Alligator mississippiensis: one gene and its partner. The protein of the gene in region 1 purifies or fractionates together with the protein of each later gene. This does not show direct contact. Links are inferred from orthologs where the notes say so. Each region holds a gene or a part of one and is shown in the gene's direction. Other genes may lie near its edges.

Region 1 (7,012 bases):
GATGTTTCATAGTTCACAACAAAAATGAGTGCATTAAGTGTTTTATGTCGTGTATTATTTGGATTTTCTGCTTTTTCTACTAACCTATACCTGGTTTTCTTTAACACAAATTACAGTGGATACATTATTTTTTGGTTTGTTTTAAACTAAAACTAAACACTGAGATAACAACCCCTTGCATGCATCTTGGACTGATTTCTTTTGGAATACAGTGATTCAGTGACCAAAACAGCCAAAGGTGAAAAACAGTTTTGAATATATCGTGACCCTGTCTGACAGGGTATTTTCAGATTCTGTCAAAATAAACAAATAAATAGCAATAGAACGTCTCTTAACCCTTAGTTGTAAATGTAGCAAGGGCTACTTCCCGCCACAGAGGCTGCTGCAGCAGGCCACAGGTAATGTTTTACCTGAGAAATATTAAACTGCTGAAACAGCCATGTCTTCTCCTTTTTCTATTTGTAATTAAACATTTGTTGACCTTTCCCCCAGCCCCGACTTAGAATCATAGACTCATAAGGCTGGAAGGGACTGCAAAGGATCATCTGAGAACTCAGGTCAGTATGTCTGCCCCATTTTCATTAAGGAAATGGGTGCAGAATAATACTGTAGAGCAAGCCTGATGCACACTAATGAATCCTTTCCCCTCCCCATCCCCAGCTTTCTTAAACCTTGTGGAAAACTGACAACTAATTTGTCCTTGTGGCAGTGACTTAGAGATGATCATAATGAGATTACATTACTATTGAATCCCCAGGCCTTGATGGTGGGATTGCACGTACTAGCACAGAAAGTGCTTCCAAAATGCTGAAAGATGTTTTAATAATGAGTTTAGTAAAATGTTAGTTTCTTTACAGCTGATTTGTATGATTATTTTTTTGGACCCTGCTACTTACTGGAACTGAACACTCAATGCCTGCAGCTCTAAACCCAGAGCTTCCTAATTGCCTTGTATGTGCATTTATTTTTCTTCAGGTATTAGAAAAGGATAATTAGGCAAAGGAGAGATGTGCTCAGTGTTCTCAGTAGGGCAGTACAATTTAGTCTATTTTAAATTGATTCTTTCTGCCACAGTACAGAACGCTAGCCCATACATTCTTGGCACGCACACACGCAACCCCCCCCTCCCCCCACATATCTTCTGAAAGAAATGTTTTATTATGTCCTTTTTTAATCTAGAAGGAGAGATGGGAATTGTTATTACTAAGTAAGTGAATGGTCCTACTAAGGTTGTAGCTAGGCTCTTGTGAAGACTTTATAATCACAAATTCTTAAACACTGACATGGCAGAAAAAGTCTTAATTGCTGATGTTGCTGCAGACTTCTAAGTTTTTGTCCAGCATTTTTTCTTAGCCAGCTAGTACATTACTGCAAACATTCCGCTATTTATTGAGTTTTCAGCTGGAGTTTAGGTTTATTCCACAGATGGCAGACCTAAAGGATGTTTGCATTTGTACAAAATAGAGGTATCAACCTCTCGTCAGGTTCTCCAAGGACAGTTGAAATGGACTTCCATAAATATATAAGTGAAATCCTCTTGTGGCCTTTGTCACTCCTATTCCACATCTCCCAGTCTCTGAGGGGGTGGAGGGAACCTCTTTTTTTCCATCATCTCTGCTTGGCTGCAGTTGTAAGGGGGGGGGGGTGTGCGCGTGTGGGTGTGTGTGTGTGTGTGTCCATGCATAGGCAGGTGCTAAAACAAAAAACGTATTTCTAGAAATACAGCATGAAAGCAGAAGGCGCAACTACACTGTGTTCTGGTGCATTTACACATTTTATCACACTAAATAAAATACAACTTGGCTGCTATGGTTTTATTTCAGTAATCCCCAACTTTTTAAAACTACTTTTTGAACTGGTAACGGTCTCGTTAATCTGTTTGAGTTGTTTGTGTTAATGCAAATACTTCTAATCATCTTGGAGTAAAAACACTTCATTTTCTTAATGATTGCGGGGGGGGGGAGAGGTCAAGGAAACCAGTTTGAAGCAAAAATATATGAACATGTGCCATTGTATTATAACACTATCCACTTTCTTGACAGTAAAAATTCTTTTAATTTTTTTGTAGCATGTAATGTATATGTTCATAGTATGTGAAGTAAATAAAAAAAAATAGCCAAAAAAATGGCTTGGTGTCCTTGTAGAGAAAGTGTTTTTTGGAAGATTTCCATTTGTTTACCAATGATAATATAAAGACTACTTTGCAATGATAAAATATTGTCTGCAGTACCAGTTTTTGCACTGGCAAATTGCTCACCTATAAGAAGCTACTGAAAGCAACATTTGCATAAGATTAAGCTTAACTGATGAGAAATAACATTTAGGCTTTTGAAAACAAAGTGCTTTGTTTAAAACTAAACAAAACACTAACTCCTATTTACTGAAAAATGCCAAAGCTTTTCTTTTGCGGAGCAAATAAAATCACACTTCATATTAGCTCATAATAGTTTTGTAAGTTTTGATGTCTCTTGCAATCCTTTTAAGGTGTTAACAGAGTAATATTTGACCATGAGTATAGCTCGCCATATTCATTCCTCTTAGGTTTTCATAGTTATAGAACAGTTAAATATATGTTTTTGGCAGTTTGGGGGGGGGGGGAGACCTGTCTGACTACTACTGCGCTGTATCTGGAGTTACCTTGCTGTGGCTGGGCATCTTTGGCTATTGCAGTTCTCACAGGTTTCATAGTTTCATAGTTGGTCGGGTCGGCAGGGACCTTGACAGATCATCAAGTCTGACCCCCTGCCATGGCAGGAAAGAGCACTGGGGTCAAACGACCCCAGCAAGGTGTTCATCCAGCCTCCTCTTAAAAAGCCCCAGGGTAGGAGCCAGCACCACCTCTCTTGCTCAAGAGCAGTTATAATAATAGTTGATACGTTCACTTCCAGGATTATGGGATGAACACTCTCACCAGACACCTTCATTCATTAGAACATGCCAGCAAGGAAGCAAGCAGTAGTAGTCGTGTTAAATTCATTTTTAGGTATCAGAAGTTGAAGTTTAGAAGATGGAGATCGTTTCTCAGCTAAATTTGGGTTGAGTCTGTACGCAGGCCAACGTGCATTGGCACTCCCAGGGATGGGAGAGGCGGCGTGGGGGCGTGTTTTTAAATGAAAGCTTAATACGTACTATCATCCCTTGCCACAAGGCGATGGTCTGGTACAAAGTGAGACTAGAACTCAGGGGGAAGTTGCCCCGTGTTAGAGCTATTTATCGCTGCGGCCATCCTGGTCGTGGCTGTGCTTGGCCCCGGGGCGGAGAGCCGGAGCTTGCCGCTCTCCGCCAACCAGCGCGTAACAGCCCGGCCCCGCCAGCGAGCGCGCGCTGCCCCGGGCTGGCCGAGGAGAGGGCCTGCGGCGTCCCCGACGGCTCCTCCCTGCCCGGCCGCCGCCGCCCCGAGCACCTGACGGTCCTCACGCGGGGCTTCCGCCACCAGCGCGGCTGCGAAGCCTCATCTCGGGGTGGGTTTCCGCGCTGGGGGGCCCCGAGTGTGATGAGCACTGGTTTGAAACGATGAGAGCAGGCTCCCGAGCGGGGAGACCCTGCTCCCCCGGGCCCTTGCTCGCCAAAACGCCACGAGTCAAAGCATTCTTAGTTAACAGAACATGTCTATGTAAAAGCAAAAGGCCGCTAACGAGCGAGGCCCGAGGCGGAGCGGCGCTCTCCGCAGCGCGGCAGGGATCCCCGGGCTGCGGGGACGCCGGGGCCGGCTGCGCTGCCTCGTGCTCGTCCCTCGTGTCGGGGCCGCGGACCGGAGCGCCAGGGCGTAGCCCCGCGGGCTGCGGACAAAGCCGCCGCCGGCCTCGGCCTCGGCGCCCGACCCCGCCCGCCGCCGCCGCCTTCCCCCCCGGCCGCAGGAAGGCGCGGCCCGGCCGGCCCGGCGGTTGCTAGGGTGCCGCCGTTGCCAGGGGAGCAGCGCGCATGCGCACGCGGGCGGAAGTGCCCGGATGCAGCGGGAGGAGGCGCTGCCGCCATCTTTGCCCGGAGAGCAGTGAGCTGGTAGCTGCCGAGCCTCGCGGACTCATCGGCCTCCATCCGCCCCGCGCAGTCCCCGACGCCGCCCCGCCTGCTGGACATGGACGATCGGGAGGACCTCGTGTACCAGGCCAAGCTGGCCGAGCAGGCCGAGCGCTACGATGGTGAGGGCCGGCCTGGCGGGGCGGGGCGGGCGAGCGGCGGAGCGGAGGGAGCGGCCACAAAATGGCGGCGGCTGGGCAGGGGGCCGAGGCGGCGGCCGGGGGCCTACAAAATGGCGGCAGGAGCCCCCGGGGCTGCCGGGCGCCGCGGAGAAAATGGCGGCTGGGAAGGCGAGTCCTGGGAAGAGAAGGGAAGGGGAAGCGAGCCGAGCCGCCCCCGCCCGAGGGCCCACAAAGCCCGGCCGTGTTGCGCCGGGCCCGGCTTGTGACGCGGCGGGGAAGGTTCCGGCGGGCCTGGTCGGCTTGATGCCTGGCGCGCCCTGAGGCTCCGGGGCCGGTCTCGGCCGTGTCCTCCCCTCCTCTTCCCCCCCGCCTCCACCCGGGCCGGCGCCGCGCTGCTCCGCTGCCAGCTGCTGGCGCGGCCCCGCCGGGCCTTCACCGCCCGGGCGCTGGGCACATAACGGGCACTTCTTCCTGTAGGAGGCCGCTGCAAATGCTCGGGAAATGCGCTCCTCTCGTGTTCGCAATGGTCCGGGGTCACTGCGTTGTGCAGCATCTTCCCAGCCTGCCCTCGTCCTGCTGGTGAAGGTTCCTGGGCTGCGCCAGGTTCATTGCCAATCGCAAGACGTGAGGAATGGGAAATGATCCTAAATACTTGTAAGGTGCCTGTCACCACCTATTTCCAATCGTGGAGGCTATACTTCAGGAATACCACTTGGATCACATGCTTTGTGGGGAGGGATTAAAAAACCTGCTTGTCACTCTTACCCTAGTGCAGTGGTTTCTCAGCCTTGTGAGACTGGAGGCGTCAGTCCCTTTGAAGATGCCAGCTGCTAGTTTTCACTTTTTCTTTTTTGTACTGTAGGAAAATACTAGAGCAGTTTTTCTGTTGCAAAGAGCTCAGAACCCCGGTAGCACGTTGGAGTGTTTTATCACCTACGTTCCTGTGTGAAATGCTAGCTTTCCTTTGTGACACAGTTGCATGCCTAAGAGGGCCAACATTGTGGCGCCTTGGAAACCTGTGGAGGGAGGCACCCCGGTGCTGTTGCGTCCTGGCTGAGACCCAGTCCTCTGGCGGATGTAAACTTCTGGCTTTGGAGCTGGATCTTTCATATGGCATCGCGAAGATAAAAACTTAATCAAGGGTTGTGACTAATAACGGATTAGATGTGTATCTGTACAGTCCACGTGAGGTTCTTTCTCCCTGCTGTGTGGTCAGGGACATGAGGTGGCTGCTTCTCATACCTTTCCCAAGTATCAGAACGAAAAATGACCAATATTCCCTACCCCGGTTTGCAATGCGAGGAAGATAATAAAAATGACAAGAACTAGGTTATGGGTCATCCCAGTTGTTGCTAAAGGGAATTATCAGTGGCATATGCTAGCACTAGAAAAGTATTCACAAAATGGAGCCAGAGACAGCGGTTAATACAGGAGACTTTCTTCCTGAGAGGATAGCCACAAGCCTGGAAGAAATGGTAGAGTAATTCATAACTTAAATATTTCTCATTTTTATTAGCTGAGGAAGGTTCTAAAATGTATTGGGTACCAGGCTGTTCAGAGGCTGTTATGGGATCTAGTTAGCACTAGAAAAAGTTGTCCAGTGTGCAGTGTAGATGTAGTGTGGAGTGCCTGGTGAAAGTTGACTGTAATTGCAACTGTGCCTGCAATAAGACTTCTGCTGGCATAGCTACATCTGTTGGGGGGGGGGGGGGTCTTTTTTGGTTTGTTTTGTTCCCATGACCCCATCTGGCACAGTTACGACCTAAGTGGGAGACCCATGAGCTGCTTTGCTTGTGTACAGTACTGTTAAGGAGGCTTTGAGGCAGGGTTGTGCTTCTCTTTGGAATTTTCTTAATACAAGCTGCATCTCATTCCTGCTAATGCCCAGTGCTTTTTTTTTTCTTCTAAACACTGATATAGGCATCTTCTCTGCATAACAATTAACCCTTCCCAATAATTAAGCTATTGATTGTAGGGTCACCCTAGGGTGCTACCTACCACTCTCTGCCCATCATTTAAGAATGAGCATTTAAAAAAGCAAAACCAGATTTGTTCAAGTGGTGAAAGCATATGAAATGTGCATCACTGTAGCTGTTATTGAGACTTGAGCAAAAAGCAAGCCTTAAAATCAGTATTTCAGAGATCACAGTACTGTTTTCTGGAACATCTTAAGCCAAATTGAACTGGCCTTGGGAAACAAGTTAAAGACCAATCATAGTTAAAACCATAGTTCAGTATCATTGGTCACTTTCCTTTGGCTGTTAAAACAGGAAATGTATGCTTTTAAGTTTTGATTGCCTCTTAATTTTGTATATCTCTCTACATCTGGTTCTTCACTATTTTCAAATGTCAAGTTGCAGTATTTTAGGAAGAAGGATTAGAAACAAGGCTCGTGAACCCCCCCTCCCCCCCATATTTATTTATTTTTATTGCTTGGAGAAAATATTTTTAAGTAAAACTTCTGCCTAATAATGTAACTAGCATTAGTCTTTTAGCTTTGTTCTGTGTTGATCTTGGTGATGTGTTTTGTGAAGTTGTTTCATTTTGGAGGTGGCACTATTAACATAATCATTGGTCTGTGTAATACTTATAAGCAGTAAGACTAATCTAAAGTATAGATAATATGAAACACCATTCTTGCCCACAGCATTAACGCTAACATAATATGTCCAGTTTCAGTGTTTGTAACCATTCTGCCATCATAGCATCTGTTAGTTCTTTCTCTTTGGGCAAATGTTTCTGTGGGTATCCAGGTATCTTAACAGTAGTTAGAGCCTGTTGGGCCTGTGGGGTTTGAAAATCTGATCCTTTGCATTTGGTCGATGGTACAGGTTTCTTGGCACTACTGTAACCTAAGTAATAGGAAGGCCCAA
Region 2 (7,891 bases), about 41 Mb from region 1:
GCCATCGGGTGCCTCCGCCTGAGCAAAGTGTGAGCGTGTGTCAGCTGGTTTAGCGGAGGAGAAAAGATGCACATGATCCTCTCTAAGTGCTTTGGCAGGAATCCTCTGGGATCTGCCCAGATGTGAATGCTTGGAGATGGAGCAAAGTGCGTGGGATGGCAGACAGCAGAGAGGTGATCTCCGCCTGTGAAGAGGCTGCCATAGGCTAAAGCCAGGGTGCAAATCTCCAGCACAGCTGCCGCTCTGTTGTCATTGCCTGGGGGGTAGGCTACAGCCAAGCCAGGCAGCTTTCCCACTTTTGCTGAAGGACAGGGTCCCTCACACGTCCTGCTGGGTAAGACTATGCACATGGGAGACTACGGTGGCAGGTCCACACCCTAGCTCCCTGCACGGTACCGTGCTCCCTTCCCCTTCTTTCCTGGAGGAAGGATTAGCCGAGTACATCTGTACTGCTGGAGGCAAGTCTGCAATACAGTGTCAGATGTGCCGCATTGTGAAGGCCTGGAATGAGCCGGCATCTGTTTCTAGCTCTAGCACTCCCTTACTACATGCCAGCCCTCATCCCAGCGAGGGGAGGTGGGCGCTGGTGTCTGCAGTGGAGCACTGCCCCGGGTGTTGCAGTGGGGCTGCTCCGTTTCCCGGGCATCCCCTTTGATCCGCAGGGTGCCGATGCACCGATTGCAGGCGAACGCTGTGGATAAGAGCAGCTCCGGTGAATCCCTAGTGCCCGTGATTAAAATGCTGCTCAGAGCTCAGCAGTCTCTTCTGCAGCTCCCAGAAATGCTCCAGCCCGCCTTCTCTGCAGCCCACGACTAGCATCGCCGGCCTGAAGCCTTGCAGCAAGGAACGGGATTGCTCGAGCAGGGGCCCCATGTTAGGAGCAGGAAAGTTAGCAGATGCTTTGGTAGAATGGGGAATGATGGCCTTTGCAGAGAGGGGGTTGGGGACAGATGTGCCCATCTCCCATGGGAATGTCTCTGCTGCTGTAGAGGTTCCAGCTGCAGCCTAAGCTGTTGGTGCCTGGATTTGCCCCCCAGTAACTTGACAGCATTTCTGTGGCTGCATCTAGTGGAGTAGCTTGTGGCTGCTGTCAGAGAACAGCCTGGCTCACTGGCCTGGTCTGACCTGCTGGCGGCTCTGTGCCTCAGGGCACTGGGATGGAGCAAGATCTCCCCCATGGAGGAGCAGAGCTCACAGTCACTGGCTTCTGCAAAGTGTCACGACATCTGAACCCGACCTATTTTTGCCCAACGACCCTCCCTGCAACAGGCGCGCGTTCAGCAACATCCCCCCATGAAATGTGATGCTTGCACACGTGATTCGGCAGCCCTTCTTCATGAACGCCTGTGGGACGGTGCAGAAAACACAGACTTAGAAACCAGCATGCCTGTGTTTCACTCAGCCATTACATTGGCTTCTTTGAAACATGCCTTCCAGGCACAACCTCAGCAATGCACCGCTCCCTCTCTCGGAGGCCTCTGCTGATACGTGCCAGATTTAGGACCCGCGACCGTCTGACCCTGCTGCCCTCCACAGACCGAGGGACGGTTTGTTGTGGGATGTTGCTGGTGACGGGGGTCCAGCCTCGGTCCACGGCATGGCATCTGGTGCTGTTCCAGCGTGCTGTGTTCCTGACCCACATCCTGATGAGCATCTCACATTTGGAGGAATCTGGCTGCTCTCCCAGGGTGTCTGAACAGCCAGCTAGCTCTAGGAATTTTTCCTCTCCCTTGCAAGCCAGCAAACTCCCTTGTATTTTCCTTGTGTTCCTTGTTTTTTTTTGGAGCATGAGAAATGCTATGGCCCAGTAAGCAGCTGGGGGGATGCAGCTCCTTGGCTTCTGTCTGTGCCACTAATTGGCTCTAGGATTCTTTCCTCTCGCACCGAGGTCCAGCTCTTCCTCCTAAGCTGATTGCTTCTCTTGGCGATTTCTCTGTCTGTCCTCAGCCATGGGCTCACGCTCCTCATTAGATATGGCTTCCCTGCAGTCGCGCTTTGCTTTCTGGTTCTAAACGAATGCAAGGTGCCAAGTTAACAGCACTGGAGAGAGCTTTGGCTATAACTGTAGCTACTATAATAGTAGCGACCGCTACTATGCTAAGATCAAAGCTCCATTTTGCACTTCAACACACTGAGACTGTCTGTGCTCCAAAGAGTTTGCAGTCTCCGGTGGACAAGGAGACAGCGTGTGGGCTGTTATCCCCATTTTGCAGGTCAGGGTGCTGAGGCACACAGAAGCTAAGGGACACACCCAAGGTCATGCAGATCAGGAAGCTGGACCCAGATCTCCTAGTCCCATGTCTCACTCCCCCAGCCTTCTCTTCAAAGCCATCTGTCCTCCCTAGCCAGCAGAAAGCCCTCTGCAGTGTGCCCCAAACCTGAGCAGCAATGGCAGCTGTTCTGATGCTGGGGGCAAAGGGGGAGTCCGGCCTCCCAACTCCATGCAGCCCTTGGGGTGTCTGCTGAGATGTGCAACAAGTTGTGGCTGGAGAAGCCTGCAGAAGAGGAGAGAGCTGGAAGGGGACGTGCCTGCATGTTCCCAGCTGCCCTGGTGTTGGGGTCGGGATGCTGAATCCTTCACACACCCCAAGCCCCACCCAGCACCTATCCACCTTGTTGGGCCATTTGAGCAGAGATGTTCAGGTGACCCAACAACATCGGGGTGAAACAGCCTGGCTGGAGCTCCTCTCTCCCCATTGCTCAGTTCTGTATGCTGTTGCAACGCTGTCCCCTCGCTCGCCTCCCAGGCTCCCAGCAATGGGGCTGTCTCCATCGTGAGACAGAAAGAAAAGGGGTGGAGGGCAAGCCTGCATCCCCTTGGACTTGGGGGTCACCATCCTATCTGCCTCTCCTCCCTTTCCCTCGCTCCTGTGCTCTCCTGCTATGCTGGCTGGTGTCTCAGGTGTTGTACCATGCCCTGCAGAGGTCTGCTGTCAGCATCTCTTTCTCTCACTCCTGGCCCCAACCACATAATTATTTCTGAATCCTTTTGCACAGCCCTGAAATTTTAACCTGAGATTACATTAATTACCGAAATTCTGGTGACAGCCAAGATGGTTGGGGGGGGGAGGGGAATCCACATAGCAGGGTTTATAAGAAATTAATTAGCTGCAAACAGATGAGGTTGGCACCCCCTCGATGCCTGATATTTTCCATGGTTGTCTATTTTTGGAAAGCTGCCTGTGTTAAGCTAAATATAATAGAGTAAATAGTGGGGAAGATGAAGATGATTAAAAGTGCGTAACTCAGCAGAGATGCGGTAGGCAGAGATTTCCTTGCACAAGATGCAGGCAAACCCATTCCAAAGCCAGCAGCGTTGAGGGGAGAGGTAGGCTGGTTTGACAGAGCCATTGAGTTTGCATGCTGTGAGACAGCTTCATCCCTCCAGGCCCCAGTGAAGGTGCCAGGGGAGGGGAGATGGAAGCTACGTGCTGAGGTCCCAAGGGTCCGTTTTTCTCCCTTTGTGGGTTAGAGCAGCCTCAGGGGCTGTCAGCATTTGCCTGCAGCTGCTGATAGCCCCTGCAAGTCCCTGAGGGCCAGTGGAAAGAGCCAGGGTGTGGATGGGCTTCCTTCCCCCCAGGGTGACACCTCTGGGGTGCCTCCTTGCCAGGGGCTCCTGCGAGCAGCAGCAAAGCGCTCTTGAGATCCCTGGGAGAAGGGGCGGCTGCTAGCAGTGAAACCCCTGGGGCAAGCAGGCTGCACCCAGCACCCCATCTCTGGGGAGGGGAGCTCAGAGCCCGGCACTGGATCTGAATTGGACCCATTGCTGACTCCTTTTTCCTCTGCTTGCCTGCACCTCTGAATTGGTATGGCTGTGGACCAGGTGCTCCAGGGGTGTAAATCAGCACCACTCCATTGCAGCGAGGGGAAGCATGTTCCTTTCCACCACCAGCTGGAGTCCCAGCCCTCTGGCAGCTCCAGAGTTCGCCTTTTCCCGCTGGCTGCTCTTTTTACTGTCGGCCAAATTGGACCCCAGAGCCAGAGCCTGTGTGGAGCGGAGCGGTAGGGAATCCCTGCCCAGGTTTGGCCGCTTGGATCTGCCTGGCACGGCAACGACCCACGGTACCGTTATGTGCACCGTGTTGTACTGCTACCATAAGGTGGGTATGCGCATGTGTGTGCGTGCATGCATGTGTGTGCATGTGCACGTGTGTGCGAGCATGTGTATGGACGTGCATGTATGTGAGCATGTGCACGTGTATGTACATGCATGTGTGCAAGCATGTGCATGTATGTGCACGTGTGTATATGCACGTGTGTATATGCATGTATGTGAGCATGTGCACGTGTGTGTATATGCATGTGTACAAGCATGTGCGTGTATGTGCATGTGCGTGTATGTGCACGTGTGTATATGCATGTATGTGAGCATGTGCATGTGTATGTACATGCACGTGCGTGTATGTGCACGTGTGTATGCATGTATGTGAGCATTTGCACGTATATGTACATACGTGTGCAAGCATGTGTGTGCACACATGTATGTACATGCGTGTGTGCACATGTAGGTGTGTGAGCATGCGTGTGTGCACGTGTATATACATGCATGTGTGCGTGCGTATGCTTGCCCAGCTCTGGCAGCAGGCGAGATGAGAGCCCAGACGTGTTCTCCAAGCGAGCAGGAGGGAGTGCGGCTCCAGCCACCCCGAAAGGCAGCCCGTGCCATCCCTGCGCAGCCGGGACAGCCTGTGGGAAGGCGGCAGGGCCCAGCAGGGCTTGCCCAAACCCCTGGATTGGCAGTTGCCCGGCAGGGATGTCAGCTGTGGGGAGGGGCCAGTGTCACACATGAAATACTCCAGCCCTACCAGGAGGATTTCTCTCTCTCTCTCTCTCTCTCTCTCTCTCTCTCTCCTCCCTTTGCTCAGCGCCTCCTGGCTCAGGTTGCTGCAGAAAGAACCTTTCCTTACCTTTCCTGGGATTGAACTTCCGAGGCCCAGCGAGCGCGGGGGGAGAGAGCAGAGGCAGGGACCCAGGGGAGCGAAGGGGGCCTCGGTGGGAGAGAAGGAACCAAAAGGAAAGAAGAAAAGAAAGAAAGAAAAAAGAGTGAGTGAGCGAAAGCGTCTCCTTTCCCGGCCGTGTGAGTACAACTGCCTCTTCCCGGTTGTGGAGTTGCATTTCAGCAACATGGCAATGTAAACAGAGCAAAGGGCCAGCAGGCTGGGGTTGCCTTTAAAGAAGCAGTTCCCCTTTCTTTTTCCCTCTCTCGTGCTTCCCCGCAGAGCCTCCTTGTTCCCCTGGGGCTTGGTTCCTCCTCTGGTGCCGGGGGGCTGGGCTATGGGGGAGGCAGCAGGGGCAGAGTTAGAGCTGAGGGGAAACTGAGGCAAGGCAGCTGGTGTCAAACGGAGCAGGGCGATTTTCCGGTCTCCTTCTCAGAGGGTGGCATTGCCCCGTGCATTGGGGTCGGGGTCAGGGTTGGGGTGGGAGCTTTCTTTTCTGCTGTCTCCCACCGCCCCCTTCTCCCAAACCCCAGGGAGTTTGCTATCCGGGCATCGGCCCGTCTCAGGTGGGGGCCTGTGTGCGAGGAGGAGAGGAGAAAGCCATGGTCTCCAAGGCAAAACTTTTCAGGGCTGCACTTGGGAGGGGAAGAGGCAGTTGTACACAGGTTTGCCGTGTCTGACCTCTGTTCACATGCTCCTCGTGGGGTGGGAGCGCGGTGTCCCATCGCACTTTCTGTGGCTGTCACGGTCCTGTGCATCGCTCGGGCTCTCACACATTCCTAAGTACATGGGAAAATCGCCCCCAGAGTCATCCTCTCCTTCATCACCGGCGGGGTAGGGAACGATACTGATACAGCTGATCTGCACCCAAAACCCTCGCCAGAGATGCTTTCACAAGCCGGCTCTTTTCTGGATGAAAGCAAGCCAGAATGAGCCCTGCAGGCTGCTGGGCTCAATGGTGGCATCAGCGCCGCAAGGGAAGAAATAGCAGTCTCCAGCCTGAGGCTCCAGCATAGGGACGGTTGCACTTTGTGTCTGCCAAATCACTGCTGCAGCATGCGAGAGGTAGAGGAGGAGGGGGCTTGCTTGCCCAGGTGGCAGGGAAAGGGCTAGTGGAAAGGCAATAGGCTCCATTCAAAGCAAGGAGCGGCGCACAGGGGGAAGAACTGATTTCCATCCAGGGAAGCCAGTGGTGCTACTTCAGTGGGGCTGCCGAGCATTTGGGGGAGCGGGGGGGCACAGGGTTTGGAGCAAATGGAGAAACCAACCCAGTGCAAGAGCCTGAGGTCTCCAGGTGCAGCTGTGCTCTGGATGAACAGTGTTGCTTCCTGTTTGTGGGAAACTGAGGCACGGTGAGAGGTCCTTTTGCTCCAGGCCCTTGGCGACAGCATCACAGGCACTCTATAGCCTTCCATCCCATAGGGCTTCGAGATGCTGCCCGGTCCCTCTGCCTGAGGAGATCCCTACATGGAGGCTCACGCAGTACGACAGAGGATGACAGGGTGGAATCAGGCCTCGGGGATTTTCCTAGGAGGAAGTCAGTAAGGCAATGGCACAGAGGGCCGGAAAGTCCCCTCATGCCCAGGGGAGGGACGGTCCGACGGTGGCTGAAGGGCAGGCCTCAGAAGATGCAGGGTCTACCCCTGCCTCTGCTACAGGCTCCCAGCATGGCCTTGGGTGAGTCACTTAATCTCTGTGCTTCAGGGTCTCTATCAGTGAGATGCTGGTAACGCTGGACCTGGCCTTGTGCCGCAAGGCGTGCTTATGGAGAGCGGTGGAGCAGTGGGCGGGTGGCTTGCAAGGCTCCAGGGCATCGCAGCGTTGTTTTCAGTGCTGAAGGCCACTCTTAACTAAACAACCGTGCCTTGCCAGCCCCTTGCATGGATGCCTAAGGCAGGCTTCGCTGGCTTGTGCGTGTCCAGGGATGTGGTTACTGGGTCGCATCTACACCTATTATAGGTGGTGATGATATACAGCCATGCACCCTGCTGGGTATTATATCGTTTCTGAGTGGGGTGTTTTAAACCTTCAGCTAATGCATTCCAAATCCACGGTGTGACTTTTATTATAGTTAGACGCGAGCTGAGATGGGGTTTTCAGGTGGAACCCGTTCTGAATCCACGGCCCCCATGCTGGCTTCTGCGGACAGAGAACACTTTATCTTTCGTTACCCACCCTGAAATACTCCTCTGGCTTCATTGCAAACCCAAGATGCTCCAGCAAGCTGGGGACATCTGTCTGGGGTCTTGCCCAAAGCACAGTTGGCATTCCCTTGGTGCTTTCTATTCAGTAGTAACCCCGGAGAAGGGGAAACAGAGCGGAGAGAGGAACTGACTCACTCCAGGTCATGCAGCTAGGATGGGAACCTAAGGATCTTGACTCCTAGCGCTGCGCTCGTTTTGTCAGGGCATACAGAGCTCAGAAAAGGATCTTTGGAGTGAGTGTCCTTTTGAGTTACTGGTGGATTGAACCCAAAAAGATTTGGCCCCAACTGGCTGACACTGCTTTGACCTGCTTCGGGGCAGCTATTAAGGGCCCAATTTTAAAGAGGTCACTTGGCTGCTTTCAGCAAATGGAATCCATGCGGGGGATCTGCCTGTTGAATTGGCTTTCTTATCCCTTTCCAAACAAACTCGCTGCTGCTGTCTGGAGCCAGGAACAGATAACCAAACACGACCTGTTGTGCAGAGGCCCACATTACAATCCTGCAGGCAGTTCACTCTGCAGAGAAGATCTGTAATCAAAAGCAGTATCCTGCTTGCATTGCTATTCAAGGTGCCTGTTAAGGTAGTTTTTTTCTCTGCAACTAAAGTTGCTCTTCTCTTGCCTGGCCACTCGGCCATCCGACATCCCCGCCTGTACTGCTGGGCAGCCGGTCCCCCTGGAACCGAAATTGTTTTCAGACCACAGAGAAAAGTGACTGAGGGTCCAGAGACAGGCGGCATAGGGCTGAC

The links. Proteins that work in one complex are often made in the same cells at the same time.
Region 2: the proteins of YWHAE (region 1) and CDK18 purify together in Homo sapiens (affinity purification with mass spectrometry; 3 studies listed by BioGRID and IntAct, with this or other methods). This does not show direct contact. The link is inferred for Alligator mississippiensis from reciprocal best matches to the Homo sapiens genes YWHAE and CDK18.

Annotation. Positions count from the first base shown.
Region 1 is NC_081837.1:261,247-268,258, reverse strand, and holds the start of YWHAE (14-3-3 protein epsilon), read left to right. Parts: upstream 1-3,957; 5' UTR 3,958-4,075; coding exon 4,076-4,139; intron 4,140-7,012. UniProt on the Homo sapiens protein: Adapter protein implicated in the regulation of a large spectrum of both general and specialized signaling pathways. Binds to a large number of partners, usually by recognition of a phosphoserine or phosphothreonine motif.
Region 2 is NC_081837.1:40,972,405-40,980,295, forward strand, and holds the start of CDK18 (cyclin-dependent kinase 18), read left to right. Parts: upstream 1-4,799; 5' UTR 4,800-5,043; exon of another isoform or gene 5,044-5,077; intron 5,078-7,891. UniProt on the Homo sapiens protein: May play a role in signal transduction cascades in terminally differentiated cells.